Linked DNA regions of Nothobranchius furzeri. The protein of the gene in region 3 purifies or fractionates together with the protein of the main gene of each other region. This does not show direct contact. Links are inferred from orthologs where the notes say so. Each region holds a gene or a part of one and is shown on either strand. Other genes may lie near its edges.

Region 1 (6,324 bases), on a different chromosome or scaffold from region 3:
TGCCTCTCCCGACTCCAACCAGACCCATCATCCTAGATAGCTTTGCTCCTGTTTCTTTGCCTGAGTTAACCAAACTAGGTAACTCTATGAAGACCTCTGCATGCCCCCTCCACATCTTACCCTCATCTTTGTTTAAAAGTGCTTTTCAGTCCATCGGTCCCAGCGTGCTCTCTATAATTAATGCTTCTCTGGTTTCTGGTCAGGTCCCTGCTTACTTTAAGAACGCTGTAATCCACCCGCTTCTTAAAAAACCGAGTCTTGACCCCTCTCTCCATAGCAGCTTCAGACCCATCTCTAAACTTCCGTTCATCTCCAAGATCTTGGAAAAGGTTGTGGCTAAACAACTCACAGCTGCTCTTGATGAACATAACATCTATGATAGCTTCCAGTCAGGTTTTCGTAGAGCTCATTCTACTGAAACAGCTCTTCTTAGGGTCTCTAATGACCTTCTGACTCACAGTGATGCAGGGGACTGTTCTGTTCTGGTCCTGCTGGACCTGACTGCAGCCTTTGACACTGTTGACCATCACCTGCTACTGGAGAGGCTCAGAGACTGGGTAAGCCTATCAGGAAATGCTCTGGAGTGGTTCTCCTCTTATCTCTCTGAGCGCTCCTTTTCTGTGGCCATCTCCAAGTTTAGGTCCTCCACCACCTCTCTTACCCATGGTGTCCCCCAAGGTTCTGTGCTGGGGCCTCTACTCTTCCTCCTCTATCTGCTTCCTCTTCAGCACATCCTGAGCTCCTTCAAAGGAATCTCCTACCATCTGTATGCAGATGACATCCAACTGTACATCTCCTTTAAGCCCCATGAGATGTCTAAGCTGCAGCTGTTACACACCTGCTTAGACTCTATCAAAACCTGGATGGCTGGGAGCTTTCTTCAGCTGAATGAAGATAAGACTGAGATCCTCATCTGTGCCCCAGACAAGCTGGTTCGCAAAGTCAGAGACTCTCTTGGTCAGCTTGCTTCTCTCACCAAACCTTCCGTCAGGAATCTTGGTGTGACCTTTGACCCAGCTCTCGACCTGGATTCTCATGTCAATTCTCTTGTTCGCTCTTCCTTCTTCCATCTCAGGAACATTGCTAAGCTGAGTCCCATTCTGTCTCGCTCTGAACTTGAGACAGTTCTCCACACCTTCATCTCCTCGCGCTCAGACTACTGTAACTCTTTTTTCACGTGTCTGAGCAGAACCTCCCTGAACCGTCGACAGGTGGTTCAGAATGCCTGTGCTCGGCTTCTGTCCAAGTCCTCCAAACACACCCACATCACCCCGCTTCTCCTCCAGCTTCACTGGCTGCCAGTCAACTTCAGGATTCATTTCAAGATCCTGGTTCTGGTCTATAGGGCCTTACATGGACAAGCACCATCTTACATTGGTGATCTTCTTAGTCCCTACACCCCCAGCAGGTCCCTGAGGTCCAGTGATCAAAGCCTACTGGTTGTGCAACGCACCAGGCTAAAGACCAAAGGTGACAGATCATTTGCTGCTGTGGCCCCCAGACTCTGGAACTCTCTCCCCCTGAGCCTGAGATCAGTGGACTCCTTTAAAAAGCAGCTGAAGACTCACTTGCTCAGGCTGGCTTTTGTATGACCTTCTTCACCACTCTCTATTCTGCTCTCCCCAACTATTCCACCTTCCTCAGGATCCACTGATTTCCCTTTTATCTATTCACTCTCTCTCTTTCTTTACATTTTTTAATCACAATTGCCTATTTTTTGCTCATTTTAAACATATTTTTAACCATTTTCTAATTATTTTTTATATTTTTACATTTTTTGTTTTTGTGAAGTGCCTCGTGATTTTTATCTTGAGAGGCGCAATAGAAAAGATGTTTTCTTCTTCTTCTTCTTCAAATTGATCAGTCAGACGGACAAAACACCACACATAAAGCCGTCACAAAAGCAAGGTGCAGCTACGGTAGCCTGGATGTCCAAACAGGTAATAAGTTTAAACAGGTGGTTTATGGTTTGTCTTATGCAGCAGCTGTGTTTTGCCCTCATTCTGCCATCTTACTAACACTTGGGTGGAAGTTTGTCTCAGTCAGATGGAAGGCAAATTTAAATAATTATCCTATAGTTTTTATTTTTCTATGTTTTATCTTATAGTTCAATCCCTTAACTCCTGTTAGATTACAGAATTAAAGACATAAATAAAATGTGCTACATTCAAACAAACCTTTAGGATTGGTTCTCCAAGATCTTCTGGATCAAAAATGATGGATCTTGAGCAAACCTTCAAGGACCCTCTGGTTCTTCTGAGAAATAAAAGACATGTTAGAACTCTAAACTAGGATGATTCGTGAAGATTAAGGACTAGAGAAAAATCCAGATTGGAACTTTGTATTGAGAGACATCAGATTTACCTATACATTTAGACTAACGTAAGGTGGAATACGACTAACCTCTGCTTTGCATCGCTGGTCACATGGTATGCAGTGTGCTGCTCAAAGTAATACTCCTCCAAATCCAGCAACAAGAGAGAAAACCTGAGGAAATAAAATAAGGAAGAAGCTGCATTAGAGAGAGAACAGCTGGGAAATGGCTGCTGCCTGTCCATCTGACCAGCTGCACATCTCAGTAGCAGCGAGACAGAAAGATGGAGACGAGTGCTGTCAATGTCTGAGTTTGTCTGTCATGTCCCTCTCATGCTCCCATGAGCCTTTAAAAACAGATAGACTACAAACAGCTTCATGCAGTAAAACGCACAATGTTTAATATTTATGCACTCATCTGGACAAATGAGATGCACTTTAACAAAACTAAACAAAAGCACAACTAAAACACAATTTAATCCTTTAATTTCAACACTGAGAAACAAGGAATAAAATGTTAAATTGTTGCATTTTTATACATTTGAGTCAACAAGAGGTTCACTTTAATATCAACGTGAGGGGTTTAAAGAAGCCTTGGTTTCACATCAGGGAGATTTGTGAGTTTAGTGAGTGAATACAGCTTGATTCGTTTAATTCTTTGACTTTTAACTGGACAAGAGCCCTAAGTATGTTTTTGATTTGCATTTTTTGTAAGGTTTTACAGATATTAATTCAGATTAACCTGAAAGTTATGAATGTGGGTGTAAACAATTTCTTCATGTGTATTTGTGTGTGCTAATTAACTCAAAGTGATGGTGGTTGATTTAAGTTTTAATTGATTGATTGGCAATGGTGCATTCAAAGACCCAAAATAAAATCAGAATTTGAGATGGGCCAATTCCAATCACCAGCTGATTTTTGGGTGCTGCTCTAGTCCAGACCTAGTGTTTTTTTTAAGTATTGAACTCTGTTTCCACCTAAATTAATAGGATTGTTCCACTTCACACAGATGTAACGGATTCATTAGACTGTGCTGAAACTGCCCATCTTCTTCAAAATCTCAGCGGATATTTTACAGAAAGCCATAATGAGATCATTACTGAATATAAAACAATGTAAGTGAGTCATTTGGGATTTGGTCTGGTGTCCGATCAGATGATTATTCTGGTGAGAATTTGTCTGAAGAAAACAGAATTCTGCTTTTGGAGGCAGTTTGGGGGATTAAACAGATGTCATGAGTCAACCCGACCTCTCCCACTCAGACTGAGGAACAAAGACAGCTCTGCTGGCATGACTTCAATAACAAGACACCTGACAACTGCCAGTGAGCCTCTCATGACAGAGCACAGCCCTGATATTCATCCGCAGGGGAGGAAAACAGTCCGCAGACACCGAACAATGACCTCCAGGAGAAAGCAGCAACATAAAAACAGAACCCAGAGTAACAAACCTTTCTTTTGTTCGCTCTTGTGTCCTAATAAATGCCATGACCGCGCTGCATCCTCCTGTGTAACTCAACACCGAGGCGCTCGCCGTCCGAGCTCTGTAAACACGGAAACTTGACTGACGTCACGTGACCAGCTCTCACCACAGCAATAAAAGTGAAGATGCTTCACTCTCCCTAGTTTAGAGGCGATGCCGCTGATTTTATACAACTGCTCACTTAAATCAAGATCTTAAAAGTACAAACATGATGTGTTAAGTTACATTATTAATGCATAATTTATAAATATTCTAAAATATCCCATTAGGATACCAAAAAACAAACGAGCGCGACTCTGTGCTGGTGAGGGATCGTCTTAGTCATAGACGATCTTTGCTTCGAGGCTTCTTGACGTGTCTGCGGGTGCGGGAGCAGTGAGGGAAGTTGAAGCGATCCTCTCTGAAATCAGACCAATGCTGAGTGTTATTTGTTAGGAACCATGTCCCCGCTGCCGTGCGTCTGCAGCTCAACATGCACTGGAGAAGCCACGTCGCTGGCATCACGTTCAGCTGCGTTTTTGTTGTGACTCATTTCACCAACAAGGTGAGTGTGACACTATACCTGGAGAAGAAACAAACTCGATCTACTTTACATACTCAAACTATCACTTAATCAGACTTGGGTGGCTTTATCTGATCGTTTTTGGGCGCTTTTTGGATTTAAAATATCACAAATGAGGACCTGAGACATGGTTGTTTTTTTCTTCTGCAGTTTGTACTGTCTGTGCTAAAGTTCACCTATCCAACTTTATTCCAAGGGTAAGTCCCTGAAAACAAACTTTTAAATACAAAAGCAACTTGATCATTACTTCTTTTTACCTCTTTTTCAGATGGCAGACGTTAATGGGAGCTGTGCTGCTCCTGCTGGCTGGGAAACTGGGCTGGGTGGAAATGAGACACATCAGCAGGTTCTTTTATCTGACTATTACCTGCTGTGGAGTTTATTTTACCCTGACTTATTCTCTAATTACATATGTTGATGCTTGACAGATCTGCTGCTCTCTCCTGGCTCCCGGGCTCATTCCTGTTTGTAGGAAACATCTATGCAGGGTCAAGAGCGCTCTCTCACATCGTGAGTTAACAGATTCAGAGTCAAACACTCATCAGAAATAAAAAATATCAACACGATTACGACTTCCTGGACATGTTGGGTCCTAGATGCTGTTTCTTTCTCTGTGCAGGACATTCCTTTTTACTTCACCATGCAGAATTCCTCTTTTGTTGTGAGTTACATGATGATCAGGATTCTTCACAGAGATGTGAGTCTGCTGATGCTCAGATCTGTGCATTACCTTTGATTTTCCTTCAGCGGTATAATCATATTGTAATTAACGTGTATCTAACATGTTATCTGGCTCTTTGATCTCAGAGGACATCATGGCTCAAATCCATCAGGTATGCATTTCTATTTAGCTGCGATGAATCTTAAAAACATTTACCTGAAATGATCTTAATTTTGTTTTCTATTGTAAAACCTCGGAAATAAAACATTCACATTCTGAACTCATAACACTTTAATGTCCCTTTTCCTGCAGCGTCCTGCTGATGCTGCTGTCGGCCATCAACCTTCCCCTGTTTGACCCTCAGGTAACGATTCCCCGTCCTTCGAAGGTGGATTATGTGTCGGATCGTCTTATTTTATATGTTTTATTTACAGTTTGACTACAGTGCCTACCTGTGGGCCTTTTGCCATCTTTTCTGTGTCGGTAAGTCTAAGGTGCTGCTGTTAGAGGCTGGTTTCAAGGGCCTGCTGATGAATGATCTGCTATGTGCTCAGGTGCATACAGGGTGTTTCACGTTCAGCACAAGGCCAGTAATCTGAGGTTAGTCATTCTAAGTCTCACTTTTGTGTTACTACAGATCAAACAAACTATTAAAATGAAAACTGTTTTTTTTTTTTGTTTTTTTACAAAAATCATGAAAAACCTCTTTGTTCCATTGACCTGAATCACAAAGTAAATCTTCAGATGGCTACGAGGCTATTGCTTGTTTTATTTTAGGATTACTCAGCTCTATGCGGTGGGATTGTACAGTACGACACCCCCACACGCTGAAATATTTATGTGTGATTTACTTTCAGTGATATTGAACAGCAGTGCATTAACTACCTGCTCAGGTAAGAATCCACAAGGTCTCTTAAATGAGAAACGTTGGCCATAAATAGATTTAATGAAGTTTCAGGTGCAGAATCGTTTGTGAGGAAAGATTTTTCTTCTACTTCTGCTTTTTATCTTGTATAAACATCATTTTAGAGTAAATCGTAATAAACCCGAATACTTTAATGATTATAAAGTATTGTTTGTTCATGAATTGAGTTTAAATTCTAACTGAATGACCGCAGTTGTTGGTTTTTAATGACAGTGTGCTGCTGCTGGGTCTCGCTGCTCACCCCACAGGTACGACTCACCTGAGCTCATGTTTCAGCTTTAAAAGATGCGATTCAGCTCAATATTTCTGCTCTACAGGTGACCTCACAGGTGCCTGGGAGTTTACTTCTCTTAACTCCTTCACTTTCCAAAGCGGCTGCTG
Region 2 (6,050 bases), on a different chromosome or scaffold from region 3:
TTTCTACAAGCTTCGGCTCCATAAGGTCAAGCAGGACCTCGACACCTCCTGATCTAGATGGGGACTTCCACCAGGGTATGTAGACCGACAGAATGGCGTTGAATGTGTTTATGAATCTCCTAACCAAAGCTTAACGCGAAGACATCACCTTCATTCCCACCAGAACTAATCGTTTCTTCGGATTTGCTGGTTCTGAGCAACATTCCACACTACACCATTCTCTGTCTCATTTCACCTTAGTAACACCATACATTTAGTTTAAAGTTAGTCTAGTTTTAGTTTGTTTAGTAATGAATCTTTAAACTTTTAAAACCAGACTCTCTCTTCTGTTGTCTCTGAGTTCATATGAAGCTGTTATCTAATCCCTGCAATAAAAAGTTCCAATCTTCTGGTTGAACAGTACCACAGATCCATAAGGTTGATTTCATATTTACTATGGAATCTTACGTCTTATGGCTCATTAAATAACATGTAAATTAAACCATTACAGGATCAACTATTAAATTCATTAAAATATGGCAGCCGTTTCTAAAATACATGGAAACCTTCAAGCTACCTAGTAACCCCTAACATGAACAGGTCAAATGTTAAATATTAATAGTCTAACAGTGATAACTCTCACCACTTAGGATCATTATTAGAATTCATTAATATTACTTGTGCACAGATTTGGAACCTTCTTTAATTTATTAGAATTTGTTCTGTCCTGGTTCCGTTTATTTTTTCCTATTTTTGTCTTTTATTTATTTATTTATTTATTTATATCTCTTTCTTTTCTTGCTTAAATGGGGATGTCGTTTGTTTTTTTTGTGTTTGTTCTGATAATTACTGCTGTGAATAATCACTGGGATAAAAACCAAAAAGACAGCCAATGATGTACACTGATCATATGTGATTCACTGTCTGAAAATCATGCATAAAGTTTAGAAATTAAAAACATTAATCACTGTGAAAAAATAACAGATCAAAGAAGCGTTCTCACCAGCAGCTCCACTCCAAACCAGATTCCGGAGAGGGCTCGGTCAGGGAGTAGCGAGCCTTTGAATCGGACCACCCCGGGTAGAGATTTGTCCCCCGAGCGAAGCTGGACGCGTACTTTAGACCCACAGTCAATGTCCCGGATGCGCTCCAGCCGCGACGAGTCGCACAGCAGGGCGTAGCGTTCCTCACAGTTGGTGATGGGGAACAGCAACTCAGCCAGCTTCTCATCCAGCTCCAGGACGTCCCGCTCATCCAGACTCAGAACCATGTTGGTCTGGTCCAGAATGCGCAGGCTTTTCTTGCCCTTACATGGGGGCAACGTTCGCCCCAGGCTGTTGCGCTCCTGGCAGGCCTGGCCAAGACTACCACGGGGGATCCTCAGGGTCTTCTGGGCGGGCTTCTCCACGGTACATTCCTTCACGACCATGTAGAAGCGCCAGTCCTCCCTGAAGCCCCCGCTGGGCTTCTCCTGGCTCCACAGGGTGGAGCTCATGGCTGCATGGCAGACTGGAGTCCAAGGCGAGCTTGGCCACTGGGCTGGAGGAAAACACACGTGGGTGAGTTTCTCAGGAAGGTTTTGCTTAATTAAAACCTGGAAGTCTAAAAAAGCATACATGAATCAAAACAGGCTTTTTATAGCCAAGTCACCTAAGAAAGCACAAAACTAGCTCGAACAGGTTTAGTTCAAATTCAACATATTGGTAGCTGACTGGTTTCCCTACAAACGCTGGCTCTGAGGAAGACCCCATCCGTCTTGTCTGCTCACTAACGGCTGTAAACTGATCAACCACCTCCAGGCCAGTCCCGACAATTTATCACGTATCAGCCGAGGCACCTGCAAAGGCGCCCCCAAGGGGTGGCCATGGCCACCCCTAGAAAAGAGCTTCCCCCCCCCCCCAGGAAAAGTCGGTGTTCACAAATCATATGAATGTTCAGTCAAACCATATATTGATCTTGTTTATTCAAGACATCATTGTAAAACTAAATAAAAATAATACAATTAATAAGTAAAGGAGTAATCGGAATAAAAAAACAAATGCGTGTGTTTCCGCTGCTCGCCATTTTCAAAAAATTTTATCTCCATAGTTTTTTTTTGTGAACACAGCAGCAGGTGAATTAACCTAAAAATATTTCACTTTAAATTAAATTAGGGATAACATTTTAAATAACTGAAATGTTTGTGTTTGTAAAATTTTAGTTAAATGTTTTAGATACGTAGTGCTTTTTCTTATTATATAAAAATGAATAAAGGAGCAATGCAATACATTGCTACAGGACAAACCGTCCCACAGTTACCCACAAGGACCAATTTGGTGTGCCACCCCAAAAATGTATTTGGCCCCATCTGGCCACCCCTTTCAAAATTTTCTGGAGGCGCCCCTGGGCACCTGGTCCTGCTGTCACACCAGCTTTGGATCACACACAATGTTGTGCTCAAGAGCTACCCAAAAGGGTTCTCAGGCGTTTCTGATCATCTGTTCTAGCCTAGAAATCTAGACAAACCATAGCAGCACAAAAGGATTTCACTCTGTGGGTTGGTCTAGCTTCAGCAGGTCTACAATTGGCTCAGCTTTGTTTAGGCTGAGCCAATCACAGCTCTCAGACAGCTTTGCTGTCCAAAATGATGGGCAGAGCTGTGAAGGATCAAAACAGGAATGATGGTGGTGGCTCAGGATGCTCACTTTGGCATCAACTTTGGACGATTTAGACATGAGCAGATACAGGTTCTTCTTGTACTTCTTCACCTGTGCATGGCAGACTGCCCCACTGACCGATTTTAGTTGATGTGTCACAATATTCCTCGCTCTGATTGGTCCTGGTGCTGTCCAATAGCATGCAGAGTTTAAGACAACGTAGATGACTGAGTTTATGGGTTGTTGCCAGATTATATATTTACATATGTAGGACAGCTTGCCGGGCTCAGATGATCAGATGATCTGTCCTGCTTTCTTTGATCTTTTAGGCAGACAAAACCAAAGAAACTCATCCTGTTTTATAATGAATTGTGATGAATTTGTACGACTATAGTTTAAAAGTCAAGCATGAAGGCCAGACTTTGTGTTTACAATCACTGAAATAATTCAAAACAATGAGAATGGTTTCAGTAGTTTGCTGATTGCCTAAAAAGTATTTCAGGGTATTTTAATACGTTTTATCAGAGCATATTAAAGGTCTGGGGCTTTTGCATTTTCCCACGAGAACCCAAACAGCTGAGTATGCCCGCATGTGTGTGTGTGTGCGTGTGGACTTAGATCTGCTGATATGAAAGAGCTCAGATGAGGAGCATGCAGTTACCCTGACACACACACACACGCACACACACACACACACACACACACACACACACACACACACACACACACACACACACACTGATACCAGCCGGTGGACTTCCCCTCATCTCGTGTCGGATCAAATCTTCAGCAAGTCCACATCCGTCCTTCGTCTCAAGGAGGACACCAGATCCGAATAAACAACCAGAAGCAGGACGAAAACAAGACCACCGGCACCAAATTCAACACGACACGGACCGATCACGCATTTACGTAGCCGTGTCTTTGACGTTAGCAGCGAAAAGCTGAACACAGCTGATTTTAGTTCAGGGCTTTCCTTGCCAACCCCGCAGCGGCGTGTCACCGGGCGGAGGCTGTCGGTCACGGGCCCTCCGGGAGGGCAGTGGCTTAACGGCCACACACACACTCGCTCACGTTCAATACCTCCGTCAGGAACAGCTTACCTTCGATTCGGGTCGGGTCACTTGTAGGCTGCAGATGACTGACAGATCATCTCATTCGCCCATCCCAGTCAGACCTTCACAGACATCTCTCGTATTAACCTCGGAGCAGCTAAGTGGCTAGGCTAATGCTAGCGTCCGAATCACGCAGAAATGAGCCGAGCGAGCAGGTCGGCAGAAGCGGGGAGACTGGCAGGAGACTGCCACCCTCTAAAGGCTCCTAGCTACATTGAGATCTTCTGCTCCACATTTAAAATAAGTGAAATAATAACCTCTCGGTGCATACGTTTATTATTTTCAGGAGACGACAGCACCACGGACAATATGTGATGTCATTACGTTTTCTGACGGTGATTGGTCACTGAATTCTTAGTCTAGCGCTGATTGGCTGTTTGCTGTGTTTTCAACCAAGTTCACCATGAGGGGTTTTCCCATCGACGGCAGGAAAACAGATAGGTTGCAGTGTGCCTCCATGCTGCGTATCGTCAGTGATGGAGAAATATTTAAATAAAAACATTTATATGAATAAGATAATGTGACGTAATGAAAACTATCTGCAAAAGCGCGCTTTGTCCAAAATAATAAATGTCCAAAAAATGCACTTGATTATTTTCTAAAACAGCTGTCTCAGAAGATGCTCGTGAAGTTTTTGAAATAAAAATAAAAGACTAGACTAATACATGATTCGTGACGCGCACCAAGTAACAGATTTATTCCACCAGGATGCTCCACTGATCTCCACAGGAAATCCTTCCAAACTGCGAGAGCGCTCTCTGTCCATGTCGCTGTAAACAGATCCCTTTTTTCTCTCATTTTTATTATTAATTATATGTTGTCTGTGTAGAATGTGATTCATCCGTGTTTAATTTTTCCTATTAAATCTGTCTTTTATATCTGTGTAACGTCCAAAAGGGTCAATTTTCACCTTTATATCGACCAACATAATACCCTTTCATCTACAGAAATAAATCCACTCTCTGTTTGGTCTTCCAAACCCAGAAGGTTCTGCCCAGTGCTTGTTGACATACCAGAAGACAAAACATACACACAAACGTTCTCACCCAAGGTCCTGCACTCTGCGTAGAAGCCAGACTATTGATTCCTCGCCTTAAATAGAGATCAAACCTACTTGAATCCTACAAGACTTTACAACTTATAAGTTAAATAATCATATGTGTTGAATGAACAAGATGTTTATATGAAATGTTTGAATGATCTGTGCTTTAACCATGATGGCTTTAAAAAGAATATTGTTCATACAATTTTCCATTTCAGATCTTATGTGTTTGATTTAACAAGTTAATCATTATTAACACTCACACACATTACAATAAGATACTCATTAAGGTTAAAATTCACATCACATAAGAGTTTCAAGACTCTCATTCACAAAGTGTTAAAAACATCCTTGTATCTGAGGAGGCGTGGCTGTCTGAGGGATGTTCGTAAATACTCATAATGTGTCAAACTCTGATTTGCTAAACTTGGCCTAACTCATAACATTGGGGTTTAATAAAATGAGAATTAATTCCCGATTAATTCAGTTTCTAGCTGACCCTCGAACTGGCCACTTCGGGAAAGAAGCCGCTTTTGAAACCATCTCCTTTGACCTCCAGTCAAAAGCCTCTCTGCGACGCTGTAAGCTGACACAGCCAGACGGCTCTTCTAAGAGCCAAACAAACATCAGCCTTAGACGCAAATAAGCATTCCAGCTTCCTGCCTTCACCTGGAGGATCTCAGACTGGACGGGTCCTATCGGAGCTGTCTACGGGTTCCTGATATCAGAGTTCACTCCACCAGCAGTGACCATCGACCCCCCGGATCGAACGAGAACCTCCACACCAAGGGTGCGTAGATTGGCACAGATTGCGTCTGATGAGCTTAAACAAACAGCTCTCTAGTTTATAACAAACAACAGATTATTTTACAATCCAGATTTCATAATTTCTCTCTGATACAAAGAACGGTTGCTACAACATCTAGCATCCACCACACCCCCTCTCATTATTCATATCTTGTCACGTATAAATTATTAGTTTAGGAAAATAATTGAATTCATTTTAGAACCTAAATACTGACTCTGCCCGAATTAATACGAAGTGTGTTTATGGTCCCTGAATAATCAAAGAACCCGAGAATCTTCTGATTAAACATTCAAAGATCAATCAGATTGACACTTCATGATTGTACGGAATAATCACATCTTATTGATCATAATTAATATGTATTGATAATGTAATCATTAATCACACTACATCTGTGTCCACATAGAATATGTCTGTATGTTATGTTCTAAATGAGGATAAAGGAATGTTATTTAAAATACATTTGAGTA
Region 3 (5,581 bases):
AGTAGAGAATGTCTCAACTAGCAGAAGCTAACCTTTAGCATTAGCAACTCCACCACCCAGCAGAACTCCTTGAGGCTTGTGTTATTTGTGGAGATAAAACATCAGCGTTGCAGAACAGAGTCAGTGGTAGAGTCCCATTACGGTTATCCAATCAGAGGGGAGATGTCTGAATATCAGGAAATAAGACTCCAAATCCTGCCGTGTTCTGCTCACCTCCGCTCTGGCTAACTTCCAGTTCTGAAACAGGAGCGCTAGAGCTTTTTTTTTTCCCCACAGATTTCGACGCACAAGGCATTCATTTATTCTAGAGACCACTGCAAATGTGGTTCAAAACCGAGTGAACTTGGTCTTGAAAGAATAATGGAAAACTCAAACGGTGAACACGGAAATATGGCAAGAGAAGAAACAAGTGCGTCATGTCACCTGGTTGGCGCTCACCTTCTGTCGCCACTTCCAACATGCAGTGTTGTGAGCAGCCTGTGGTACAACTGTGGAGGATAAACAGGATGTTTCATTGCACCAAGGAGGAAGTAGCATGTCTTCAGAGGAAGTGATTAACGCAAAGGCTGACATGTATTTTTTTTAACTCCAGCTTTCTGTAGCTCTGGTTTCAAAGTTCGACTACACAGAAAGTTGAGCTGAACCAGTCACTGTCCCAGTAACTCAGAAAGATTCTTATGTTTATGCAAACCAGGATGTAAACATGACAGAAATATAGGAAGTTTGAGCTGCAAGTTTTTGTGCTTCCTTGTTTGATTTGTGTCAAACATCTTCGACTATAAGAACCAAAAATAAAAACACTCAACGCAGCATTTTAGGAGAAGATAAGAGAGGTCATTATACGCTAACAGACTTTTAGTAGACGCGAATAAGAAAGGTTTTTTTTAGCGAGTCTCAAGACGTGTGTGTCATAACTTCTCTCCTGTATTGCTAACAAATGGAAAGCTTGAACAAAGTCGGAAGTGAGCTGCAAGTTTCATTTCTACAAACCAACTTCCTTAATTAAAATGTTACAAAAAAACCTTCCCAAACTCGAAGATGGAAACAAAACGAGAACCAAGGACTCGTCGGACAGCGATGCACTCACTTCCTGCAAGGTTCACACTTGTTTCTGACTCTGTAGAAGTTTTCCTTACAGCCACACACGGTGTCTCTCTCTCGAGTACCTGTGAAAACAAAACTGGCTTTACCACGGAGTGGTTGTTTAATTTATTACAGAAGAATCTTTAAAGACTCACATGCATGCTCCTCCGTTTCATCTGGTTTGCATCTCGAACACTTGAGGCACTCAACCGTTTCACTGTCAATGTGGTTTTTGTAATAGCCGACCTTACAGCCACAGATGGTGTTTTGAGCTGCTCTACAAGGTGAAACCTCAACTTCATTTCGTGCTGCTGCAGAAAAGTTGACAAAATTAAAGCTTTTACAGCTAATCTGATGCTGTGCAAGCTGAGAAATGAAGTCTGGAGAAGTTAAAGTCACACCTCTGCAGGTTTTGCACTTTCTGCACTGGAAAGCGTTGTTTATCTGGTCGGAGAACTGCCGAGCAGGACAGGGTGTGCAATTACTTCTGTGACCTTCACTGTGACACTCTGCAACCAGCTTAAACCCTGAAAACAAAATGATCCCACAGAAGTAAACGCAAAGTCAGAATTCACATTCTTTACAGGTCCCGTCACGTGTAAAGGTTACCTGCAGGACATTTGTTGCAGCATATTCCATCTTTGTTTTCGTAGTCACCGACTGGACACTTGGGTGTAACTAAGTTGAGCGTAGCGGCAAAGATGAATGTGAACTGAAAGTAACGATAAACAATGAGCAGGAAAATGAAGGCAGGGTTTCCCACTAACATGCATTTGCGTCTTAAAAATTTTTTTCACCTCAAAGAGCAGGAGGAGGATCCTCAGCCTTCCTGCCATCATTTTGGACTTCAATTCAATCCATCTGGAAGAATAAACTAGAATTTAAAATGTTTAAATTACAAAAGAAAATCTTGTGTGTGTATTACTGGTCAACCGATACTGTTTTTTTTTGTTTTTTTTTTCCGATACCGATGTCGAAATGCAGGAGGCATGGTTAGCTGATGGCTGATGTGTACTGCAGATTTTCATGGCCGATACCTGGATGTTTTCCATGCTAAAATGTCACTGATGACATCAGTTGATGCACAAAATTTCTGAAGCTGAATCAGTTTTAAACTCTAAATTAAACTAACTGCTCATTATTAACTTTGTGCACTGCTCTGTGTTAAAGTCAGACACCTAAATAAAGTTAGTTTGGAGCATTTATTGTCATTAGTGAGCACAAAAATACATTTAAAGGTGCATTATGTAGAAGTAAAAATGACATCCTGTGGTAAAATGTGGTTAGTGCAACCACTTTAAACTACTCTGTAGCTTTTTGCCGGCTGCCGTCAAATTACAATCGTCGGCGCTACAGTATTAGCTCACAGGAGACACGGCAACTCCACACTCACTGATGGTAAACATTAGTTACGTCCCTACTTCTGTTGTTTTGAAAGGAGACAAACGTGACAATCCACGCAGCCAGCTGGATATGAATTGATAATGATAAATGACCCGCACTTGTATATCGCCTCTCAGAGGTGGATGAGCTACAATGTAGCCACAACTGCCCTGGGGTGCACTGACAGAGGCGAGGCTGCCGAGCACAGGCGCCACCGGTCCCTCCGACCACCACCAGCAGGCAAGGTAGGTTAAGTGTCTTGCCCAAGGACACAACAGCAGAATTCTCTGTCCGGAGCTGGGATCGAACCGGCAACCTTCCGATTACTGGACAAACCGCTCAACCCGTTGAGCTACTGCTACCCCTAATGACTGAATGAAATATGTTCCAGAATAACTTTCCTTCCAAAATGACAAACATTTCTCGTTTGGGATTTTCTCACTGAACAACTCTCACTATATTCTTACATACTGCACCTTTAAATAAAATTCTGCAACAACGTTGGACTGCCTGAGGATGTGCCCGACTTTAAATCTGCTTTACTAATGACAAATATAGGCCGCTGCTGATGTATAAATACAGTAAATATCGGCCCGATACATCGGCTCACCGATATATTGGTCTACCCCTAGTATGTAGGCATTTAGATGTGAAGTTCACTTACTTAAATTCAAAATGAGCATTCAGGACAAGGTTCACTTAGAAACCATTTTTACTTGTTGTTTTGGAAAACGATCAGTCACTCAGAGTTGAACATGCAAGCTGAAGATGAAAACAGTCTTCTACCCCTCTTTCCTGCATTAGCCGCTGATAGAAAATAAGACGCTGAAACTCTTCGAATTAGAAAATCCTGACAGATCTACGTCACACTGTCGCTTAACATTCATGGACTCACCCATCTTGACTCTTGATGTGGTAGGCTGTTGTTGGTTTAGCGTCCAAGAATCAGCAGAGAACATCTTGGCTAGTGGAAGCTAACCATTAGCATTAGCAACTCCACCACACAGCAGAACTCCTTCAGGCTTGTGTTATTTGTGGAGATAAAATGTCAACATTGAAAAGCAACCAGAGTCAGTGGTAGAGTCATGTTGCTGTTAGCCAATCAGAAGTGAGATATCTGAATATCAGGAAATAATACTCCAAATTCTGCTGTGTTCAACTAATCTCTCCCTTGACTTCTAGTTCCTCAAACAGGAGCTTTTTTCCCCCAGAGTACGACTTACAAGGAAGTCGACTTACAAGGAAGTCATTCCTAATATAAACCACCGTGTATTAAAATATGACTAAAGTCAACCTTTAAAAATGGAGAAGAAACAGGATGTTTCAATCAATCAGTCCATCAGGTTTTATTTATATGGCGCTTTCCACCACCCTCAAAGGGGGCCCAAGGCGCTGGACAAGTAACAAAGATAAAAGTAGCAAGTCATAAAAACATTCAAAACAAATAAGAACATAGACCTTTATGAGAACAATAAAATGCCAATGAGATAAAATTTAGATAAAAGAAAATTAAAATTCATTAGTTAAAAGAAAGCTAAGAACAACAAAATTCAAACCAGAAACCAAAAGCTTTAGGAGAAAGCCATCCTATAAAAATGAGTCTTCAACCTGCTCTTAAAGACTGCCAGTGATGGGGACTGTTTGATTGTGACTGGGAGCTGGTTCCAGAGAGAAGGTGCAAGGACTTGAAAAGCCCTATCACCACGAGTCTTAAATCGGGTGCGAGGGACCTGGTCAGCGGACCGTAATGACCTTGAGGGAACATGCTTTATTAAGAGCTCCACTAAGTAGGTGGGGGCACTGCCTTGGAAAATCTTAAGACACAAAAAGCAGAATTTTAGACTGTGCCCGGTATGAGACTGGGAGCCAGCGAAGAGAATCCAGCACTGGAGAAATGTGGTCCCTTGTTTTCATGATTCTGCTGGTCTACATGGATTTCCCCCCACAACCATTTCTAGGAGAAAAACAGTAGGGCTGTAGCGAAGCCTCGATGATGTAGATGTCTCGATTCTAAAAATTTGTCGACGTCAGATCCGGTAGTCGACGCACCACGCCCACTTGTTGCATCCCCAGGAGTTTGTAAATAGAGGTGGAATCTGCCTGTTTTTCCTCCAGTTCGCCCTCTTCTCCGCCTTCACTAACATCTCCACCAAATACAGAAGACCCGGAACAACGTATTCCTTTCCTGTTTTGCCCGCCTTCGTCTCCCGGCAACGGACAACAACTTCCGGGGTCAGATGCGCTGCTTCGTCTCTATCGCAGATGTAGAAAATCACCGGGAGCGTTTCTCCCTTCATAAAGGAGCTTCTTTCAGACATTAGGAGAGCTGTTTTTGTGGTAGCAGTCTCTCCTCCGTGCTGGTCTGTTTGCTGCTGGGTGTTTTTGGTTTATTTAAACTTGGTAACTTGAACTTAACGTTGGTAAAGCTACTGTTAGCACTTTCGCTAACAGCTTCTTGCGTTTGGATAAGCTGTTACGTTTTGGTTTAGAGTTCATCTTTTTTGTGGTGCAGATCTCCCTTTTATTCCATTTAGAGTGTTGTGGGTTTTCGGTTTAGTTTAAAATATCACCTCGAGTTTGGTTTAACCGCCCAGTTTAGAGTTTGGACCTTTGGAGATTCTTATTTTGGTCCAGAACCCAGTAATCTTTGCCCAGTGGGACATCCCTACTTATTTGTACTTTGTTTTAATCCCCCACAGGCAGAATTAAGTTTTATTATTCCCAACCGGTGGATGGAAAGATTTATGTTTTTTTTTTGTAGTTGTAAATAAATCTGATCATCATTTTAACTTTTAAATCCCGTGTTATTGTCCCTTCCTTTTTGCACACAAGCCAAACTCCCCAGGAAGGGTTGTAACACCACTCGCCTCACGCACATAAGTGACCAAAACAAAGCAGCATGGAGACACTCCATCTCCAACCACCTCTCAGGCAGCAGCCTGCACTCCCACGTTCTACACGTCACCAGAACACAACCAATCGCAACACAATAAAAGCAGTGTTATACAAAATGGAAGGCCTGTAGTGTTTATTCTCTTACAGTAACAACTTATCAATTTTTTGAGGAATTTATTAGATTTTTTTTGTTTTTATTAACTGTGCAATAGAAATTTAA

What was found. The genes of interacting proteins can lie anywhere in the genome.
Region 1: the proteins of tnfrsf1a (region 3) and nsmaf purify together in Homo sapiens (affinity purification with western blotting; 3 studies listed by BioGRID and IntAct, with this or other methods). This does not show direct contact. The link is inferred for Nothobranchius furzeri from reciprocal best matches to the Homo sapiens genes TNFRSF1A and NSMAF.
Region 2: the proteins of tnfrsf1a (region 3) and cyld purify together in Homo sapiens (affinity purification with western blotting; 4 studies listed by BioGRID, with this or other methods). This does not show direct contact. The link is inferred for Nothobranchius furzeri from reciprocal best matches to the Homo sapiens genes TNFRSF1A and CYLD.

Annotation. Positions count from the first base shown.
Region 1 is NC_091747.1:41,216,958-41,223,281, forward strand, and holds the start of nsmaf (protein FAN), read right to left. Parts: upstream 3,902-6,324; 5' UTR 3,802-3,901; coding exon 3,764-3,801; intron 2,488-3,763; coding exon 2,404-2,487; intron 2,257-2,403; coding exon 2,178-2,256; intron 1-2,177. Other genes in the region: UDP-N-acetylglucosamine transporter TMEM241 homolog, read left to right, coding at 4,268-4,339, 4,508-4,554, 4,626-4,703, 4,786-4,867, 4,977-5,054, 5,165-5,190, 5,331-5,382, 5,453-5,501 and 4 more. UniProt on the Homo sapiens protein: Couples the p55 TNF-receptor (TNF-R55 / TNFR1) to neutral sphingomyelinase (N-SMASE). Specifically binds to the N-smase activation domain of TNF-R55. May regulate ceramide production by N-SMASE.
Region 2 is NC_091749.1:70,971,668-70,977,717, reverse strand, and holds the start of cyld (ubiquitin carboxyl-terminal hydrolase CYLD), read right to left. Parts: upstream 3,902-6,050; 5' UTR 3,719-3,901; intron 1,519-3,718; 5' UTR 1,475-1,518; coding exon 983-1,474; intron 1-982. UniProt on the Homo sapiens protein: Deubiquitinase that specifically cleaves 'Lys-63'- and linear 'Met-1'-linked polyubiquitin chains and is involved in NF-kappa-B activation and TNF-alpha-induced necroptosis.
Region 3 is NC_091745.1:73,834,265-73,839,845, reverse strand, and holds part of tnfrsf1a (tumor necrosis factor receptor superfamily member 1A), read right to left. Parts: intron 1,945-5,581; 5' UTR 1,923-1,944; coding exon 1,881-1,922; intron 1,796-1,880; coding exon 1,693-1,795; intron 1,611-1,692; coding exon 1,485-1,610; intron 1,395-1,484; coding exon 1,239-1,394; intron 1,167-1,238; coding exon 1,088-1,166; intron 489-1,087; coding exon 424-488; intron 1-423.